Linked DNA regions of Coturnix japonica. Each later gene encodes a partner of the first gene's protein in a complex. Links are inferred from orthologs where the notes say so. Each region holds a gene or a part of one and is shown on either strand. Other genes may lie near its edges.

The links. The genes of interacting proteins can lie anywhere in the genome.
Region 2: the proteins of ATP7A (region 1) and ATOX1 are in contact, whole or in part, in an NMR structure (PDB 2K1R), measured with the Homo sapiens proteins. The link is inferred for Coturnix japonica from reciprocal best matches to the Homo sapiens genes ATP7A and ATOX1. Residues at the interface, in NP_000043.4 of Homo sapiens: Cys19, Asn20, Ser21, Cys22, Trp24, Thr25, Gln29, Asp67, Asp68, Met69, Gly70, Phe71, Asp72; in NP_004036.1 of Homo sapiens: Thr11, Cys12, Gly13, Gly14, Cys15, Ala18, Arg21, Val22, Lys25, Lys57, Thr58, Gly59, Lys60.

What each region holds. Positions count from the first base shown.
Region 1 is NC_029519.1:12,219,221-12,222,869, reverse strand, and holds part of ATP7A (copper-transporting ATPase 1), read right to left. Parts: coding exon 3,618-3,649; intron 3,171-3,617; coding exon 2,937-3,170; intron 2,509-2,936; coding exon 2,417-2,508; intron 2,052-2,416; coding exon 1,924-2,051; intron 1,757-1,923; coding exon 1,602-1,756; intron 1,280-1,601; coding exon 1,145-1,279; intron 292-1,144; coding exon 97-291; intron 1-96. UniProt on the Homo sapiens protein: ATP-driven copper (Cu(+)) ion pump that plays an important role in intracellular copper ion homeostasis.
Region 2 is NC_029528.1:5,159,361-5,163,109, forward strand, and holds the start of ATOX1 (copper transport protein ATOX1), read right to left. Parts: upstream 2,283-3,749; 5' UTR 2,157-2,282; coding exon 2,151-2,156; intron 1,448-2,150; coding exon 1,372-1,447; intron 63-1,371; coding exon 1-62. UniProt on the Homo sapiens protein: Binds and deliver cytosolic copper to the copper ATPase proteins. May be important in cellular antioxidant defense.

The sequences.
Region 1 (3,649 bases):
AACATTCTAATATGCTACTTAAAAAACACAGAAATCTGCTCAGGCAGGAACTGGCAAAATGCTACCGCTACATTTCTTACAACCCACATTTCTTACCTTATGTGCCATCTCTAATGGCTCTCCTCCTTTGATCAGTATGCCATTCTGAGCTCCTACTCCAGTACCAACCATCACAGCCGTTGGGGTTGCTAATCCCAGGGAACAGGGGCACGCAATACACAAGACTGTGATAGAGGCTTGGAACGCGAAGCGGATTATCACTTCAGCTGTAGAAATGCTCTTATTGTAACCCTAGTGACAGAAATTTGTTTTATTTACAAATGAAATTCAGCAATGAAAACGATGTGTTCAACTACACATTGCCTTTGATGTAAAAAGAAGGAAGTAAAAATTGCAAACATGCAAGATGAAACATTAAAACTGAATGCCCAGGAAAAATTATGCCATAGCTAAGATTAATTACAAAAATCATTACCAGTATCTAAACTTTGTTATATAGAGCATATACTCATGACTTGTTTTATTGATAAGACATTTTCTTAAATAAGGGACCACACTCTACGACAGCTCTTCTGAATGTTGATAAAATATATTTCATCAAGAGTTTATGCCACAAAGACACGAAGACTGTTCTCCTGCAACTAATAGATAGAAATGCTGGAAATCTAGTCCGCAAAAGACCTGAGAGTTAAACAACCCCAATGTACAAATCAGGATTCTCATCCTCCTCTGGCATTCACGTGGGATATGAATTCCACTGATTTTAAAGCTGAATTTACACAAAGCTATGCTAAAAAAAACTAGAGGCAGAATTGGAGCCTATGATGCAAGGGATTTTTCTCCCCACAAAGAAGGGGACACACGAACACTAAACCTTGAATTTTCCCAATTTAGTTTTTCTATTTAGTTTTTAAAAACTAAATTCCAAGAGTTGATTAATCACTGAATATTCTGTACATGAAAACGTCAGAGGGAAGTTACAGTACAGAACAGATAGAAATTACAGGGATGAAAATAATTTCATGCATTCCCAGCCCACAGCTGTCTGCAAGAATAATCTAAAATGGGACTGCTGCAGCCCAATAGATCTGTAGGCTTATTTTATGTGAAATATTGAAGAAATCGTTTAAGGAGATTGACTTACCAGAAAATATTTTTCTACTATTTCAAAATCCACAAATCCAATTATAATCCAGGCAAAGAGGGTAACCACAGAGACAACCACAATAAAAGGAACAAAGTAGCCGCTAATTTTGTCTGCAAATTGTTGTATAGGAGCCTAGGAAGAAGAAAAAACAAGTGTCAGCTCCATCAACACCATGCTGTCTTGTATGACTTCAGACATAACCATAATCATAAACAAATCTCAGCACATTAGGCAAACCACGCTTTGTAATTACATTATTTACTCTGTAAGATGATGAGATTTGAATCAGTGGATCATATCAAAGTTCCCATTCAGTAAAATAAAACAAACAAAACCAAAATTCACGGTCCAGCTGCAATTCATATCTAAACAATCCTAATCGTTTTGCAAGTGATTTGGTGTGCTGATGCCCAGCTACAACAAAACCCAAACTCTTAGGTTGATAATACTCTACCTTTGAGGTCTGGGCCTCCTCCACAAGTTTAACAATCTGTGAGAGAGTTGTGTCAGCTCCAACGTGGGTTGCTGAAATCAGCAGTGATCCATTCTGATTAATGGAACCAGCAATCACTGTGTTGCCAGGCTTTTTAGTCACAGGCATCGCTTCACCTAAAGAAAGGTCAACAAGAGATAACTGTTGGAGCTTTTGCAGCAATGTTATTTCTGATCATGACTACCAACTCTTTTATTAAAAAAAAATTTCAACTTTTATTCTTCAGATTCATTTAAAAGAAAACAAAAACATGCTTACGCTTGCAAACGAAACAGATGCTCACCTGTGATAAGAGATTCATCCACCATAGAGTGTCCCTCAATAACACGACCATCCACTGGGAATTTGCCTCCCGGCACCACTTTGACAATGTCACCTCGCTGAACCAGCTCAACATCAACTTGCTCTTCACTGGAGAGTTTGTTAAACAAGAGATTGTTAACTGAAGTTAACCAGGCAAAAGCACTAAACATAAAGCATAATTCCACTGGATGACACTGTTAACTTAAACAAAGGCTGTTTTATAGAGCACTAAACCTATTGTATGTTAATTTACTTTTCAGCTGAGAAAATCCACTTATTTGCTTACAAGCAAAAATGAGTGAGACTGCAATAAAACAAACTGCAGTAGTGTTTACTTTTCTGCATTTTAACATTTTCAAATACAAATCTGAAGTTATTTTCTTCATAGTTCTACAGAATTATAACATCTGACTGTGAATTTCATGTATTATCAACAAAAATGGAATGATAGAAAATGCAAATGATGAAGATACCTTAAGAGAATGTTATCAGGGCCCAAGGTAACAATAGTTGCTTCAGTAGCTTGTAATGAAATTAGTCTTGCCAGTGCTTCTGATGTTTTACCCTAGAATAATAATTTTCATATTTTTCTGACTATGTATTGCAAAAAAATCGTAGGGTAAACGACAACTTCATATGCTGCAATTTACTCTGTTAAGAAAATACTTTCTGAACATGGATTTGTATTATTTCATAGTTTTTACTGGTTTAGGTATTGAAAATGATTTTATAGCAACAACAACAAAAGGTTAAAAAAATATAACAAAGCTTTTGCAGCTGATTTTTTTAAGGTATGCACCATTCTGAAATCATATTCAGTGTCTTAAAGCTTGTAGATACAACGTTTTCCATTCAGTGACACCAAGAACAAATGTTTACTCTGTACTGTAGGCAGCACAAAACTTCAGCCTTCCACCATCACTACTGAGAGCCATCTGAAATACAGCTGCCATGCTCTTTTCTGCCCAACACAAGTACTTCTACTTCCCTTACCTTTGCAACGTGCTCCAGCCACCGGCCCAATGAGATGAACGCCAGCAGCATGGGAGGTGTGTCAAAGAAAGTCACAGGGTTTACTTTTGCTTTCTCAGCCATTGCAACTAGAAGAATAACAAATGAGTAGACGAACGCAATGGAGGTTGCCAGAACAATGAGCACATCCATGTTTGCAGTTCTGTGCTTCAACGCTTTGTATGCCTGTATATAGAAGTGCCAGCCTCCAAATATCTGTAACAGCAATGGCACCTGTTATATTCTGTACACACATTCGTAACACACAACAGCACTATTTTTCCAAAAGAAATAGCTCTTTTTTTTTGTCATTTGTCTTCTCCATCACTTACTGAACCAACTCCTATCTCTGCTCAAGAGACAGATCTTCCCCTTAGTATTCCCAGATTACATCACCACCATGCAGCTCTACCAGCTCCTTCCTATGCCCACTGACTAGAGCTAGACAAGCTGCCTCAGATGCTGTCAGACTGCATAGCACCCACACACGGATTGACCTACCCTTAACAGTCCCCAGCACTGTTTATGTTAGCATGGAGTGGTGGCACCTCAGAATTATTTTCCATTAGTGTAACTACAGTCACTTGTCAAATTTAATTTCTCCATTGTTTTTCACCTTACATGTTCTAACCCCAACAAACTTGGGGTCACATTGCCACCTACCTGTACTGGGACACAGAGTAAGAATGACAGAA
Region 2 (3,749 bases), on another chromosome or scaffold:
AACATTGTGCTCTGACTCAATGTACACCTTCTTGTTGGGCAGGTCAATATCAAACTGGACACCTGGAAGGAAAGGAAAAACACTTAGTTAGAAGCAATCAAATGGTATAAAAGCAGGGAAAATGTCACTTTCATGCATTTGTGCTCTCACAGTGTCACCAAGTGAATTGTACATGCCTCTTGTCAGCAAACTTCTGTTCTGTGACCAGCACAACCAGAGCAGGATCCCACCAGCATTGGTATAAAGGAATCCAGATTGCCTATATATGTACATTAGGCACCATAGGTTTATTATGGGAGCTTTATTAGACTAGCACAATCACAAGCATTAATGAGAATTAGCAGAGTTTAAACCAACCACTGTAATCTGCAGCCAGCTCACTCTGTGCTGAGGTTTGGCACGAATGAGTACTAATGAAGGAGATGGCATAGAGGTTAAGATGGGGTCAGAGCAGGTTTTATCAGTGGCAGTACCACCTTGCAGCTGTAAGCAGGAGGAAGCTCAAGACACCTTCCATGTGGATATGCCACTGGTAAATAAAGGTCAGCCACTCTAAAGCCAGAGAGAAGAACTCAACGAAGCTTCTACCCAACCATATAATGAAGGTAGGTAATAGCTTTAGCAGCTCTACTGCTCCATCCCATGAGTCTGTATTTGGCCAGCACGTCAAAGAGTGATGGGAGGACAGAGGTGCTGAAAACAACACACAGAGGAACTGGAATCACCACAGCCTGGCAATGGGGTCCTGAAGAATTCTCACAGCCTTCAGCTTGGTGACTGAGAGCTGTTCCCACTTGGTGAGGATGGGTAAGCAGGATCAAAAGTCCTCATAACTGGTGAGTGCAGGCCAGATCCTGCTCTCTTGCTGCTCTCAGCACAGAGGAGACACAAGTTATAATTTTCCAGGTTGAACAAAAAACAGGCTGTGCAAGCAACCACCAAACCCTCTGCTCAGCAGCTCTTCACCATGACTGTTCTGCATTTGGATGCTGATGACACATCCAGAGAAGCACTGCAGCTACCAGTGGCCTGGCAGGAGATCCACCTTCTCTTCTTCTTCCCAGCCATCCTGAGCAGGGGGGTGCAGCTCCTGGCAGGTTCAGGATGAGGCCCTGGTGGTGCACAAAGCCACCTGATGCCTGAAGCCTCCTGCATCCCCAGCACTTTATCCTTCCCGTGTTTCTTCTCCAAGGGTTACGCCAGCCCTGCTAGCAATCAGCTACCAGCAGCTCAAAGCAGAGTGATAAGGTGCAGAGGTTTCCACTCAGACACTTCCTGCTGTTACCCACATTGCTTCCTGCTCAAAACAGAGGACCCTGGGGCAGTGACATCTGGCCCCAGAGTCATAATACACCCTGTAGCTCGACTCACCTCCCAGTCTATGCAGGACACGGGTGACTGCATTGGAGCAGCCTTCGCAGGTCATGTCCACAAAGAACTCGTGTTTCTGCAAGAAGACAGATGAGGGTTCAGCAGCATTCACCACCACCTGGAGGGTCCTCTGGAGGCTGCCTGCTCCAACCATGCACTGGAATCAGGACACCTCCAGGGCCAGCACAGCTCTCAGGGGGTTCTCCTGGCCCTGCTAGGCAGGGGGGTTGGAACTACATGATCCTTGAGGTCCCTTCCAACCCGGGTCATTCTGTGATTCTGTGATTCTCCTGGACCCATTGTATGCACAGCCCAGGAGGAGCAAGCCTGCTGCTTTGCTCTGCAATGCCTATCCTATCATATATCATATCATCATGCCCCAAACTCATAAAAACATCATGAAAATAAGCTTGAGGACCACTACCCGCAGTACTCACAGTGCACACATGCGTGGCCCTAAGGCTATCCACTGTGCTCAGCCTTCTGTACGGGACAGGCCCTATCTCCTTCACCTGATATCCTTAAACAAGAAAATCAATGCTGCTCCCTGTCTCCCACCCTCAACCCCTCCATCTTTTTACTCCAAACCACCTTTAACCCCCCACTATCATCACAGCGCGGATCAGTGCGGAACTGAGCAAAACCAAAGCGCTCAGCATCACCATTTATCACCATTCCTATGCGGAACTGGCATTTCCTTCATGTTCTGACAAGCTCAAGGTGGTTCCATCCCCCGGCCCTTCGCTGTCCCCCCCGCCGCCCTCCCGTCCCGCACCCACCGGCATGGCGTGGCTCCGGCTCCCGGTTCCCGGCTCGGAGGAAGGGGCGGCGCTGAGCTCAGCTCCGCACAGCGCCCCCGGGGCCCGAGGAGGCTCGGTAGGGTACGAGCTGCCCGTGAAGCTTCAATGTTCGGCTCTTAGTGAGACAAGTCATTTGCTGCGGGTGTTTGGGGGCTTTTTGGTGTGGTCTTAAGGCTGAGCAAAGCTGTTTGAATGGCCTTTTAGGGACGATGTATGTTTTAGGATGTTTTTGTTCTGAGAACAGCCCCTTGGTTATGTTGCTCTTCCCGTTTTCCTGATCGGTGAGGCTGAATGGCAGCTCTATGGGTCACAGCAAAGCAGGATTAGGGCTGAAGGCCTTTGCTCTGCTCACCCAGGGGGATGCCAACTGAGAGCCCATAGACATTCATTGTGCTGCACACAGGACCTGGCTGCTGTGCTGCTCTATCACAACGTGAGCTCCCTTTCCTCCCAATGCCGCCGTGGTCCCAGCAGTGGTTATTTGAGCTGTGGGTCACTGCTCTGACGTTGAGCCCCACAGCTGTGATTGATGCGCTGGCAGATTGTGCTGCAGCCCTATAAATAGCCGGGCACACAGGGAGGGGGGTGGGCAGGGCTGGGATGTGGTGGTGGGGAGGGACTCAGTCTGAGACAGTCCAATATATCTGATAGTGCTTCATGTCATAGATATGATGGGATACAAACACAGCCTGCTCAGCCAGCTACCTGCTGCTCCTCCATCCTGCTGTCCTCAGCATCCACACCTGCACTATGTGTTGTTCAGATGAGGCTCAGGGGGTCAGAGGCGACCTAGTGAGGCCCATTGGAGATCTCGCAGCCTGCTCTTAGTGATAACCAATGCCCGTCCCAGCGCTGCCCCCCAGCAGGGGGTGGTACGGGGCACTCAATGCCGCCCCTCGTGCGGGGTGACTGTCCCTTTAAGGCCCTGCCTGTCCATCATAGCCCGTCGCGCCCTCCCATTGGATAGGATTGGATAGGTCCCGCCCCCATCTCTAACGGGGTTTACCAGCACCTTCTCAAGGGCGCTGCTGTGCGCTTCAACCACACTACGGCGTCACGCCTGCCCCGCCTTTCGCGCCTGGTCTCGCGGTCAGCGTCGTCCTATTGGCTACCGTTAGGTCTAGCCCCGCCTCAGCACCGAGAGCTTCGCCTCCTATTGGTTCGGATCGCTGTCTGTCAATCTCCCCGCTCCGCGCAGCCAGGCCGCGTGGTTGATAGAGTGAGCTGCCATTCATTTATCATCCCGCCTCCTTTCCCCTCTCCGAACCAATCAGCGTCCGAATGAAGGAGAGCGGCGCTGTGTGATTGGTGGAGCAGCCTCCCGCCGGGTTAGGCTGCGCGCCGGATATATGTAGCCGGCGGCAGAGCACGCCGTTGCGTGAGGTGCTTGTCGTCCGCCGGGCAGGCCTGTGCTCCTGCGACGCCTCCCGCTGCCGTCCCGCTCCGCCCGCAGGTGAGGGGGGCAGGGCCGGGCTGGGAGCGGGGCCGCGGCCTCGTGGGGATGGCGGAGGGCTGCGTGCACCGGGGCGATCCCATTTCCATCCCCCTCAGCGCTGCCCCCTATCCCCGGGGTAGGCC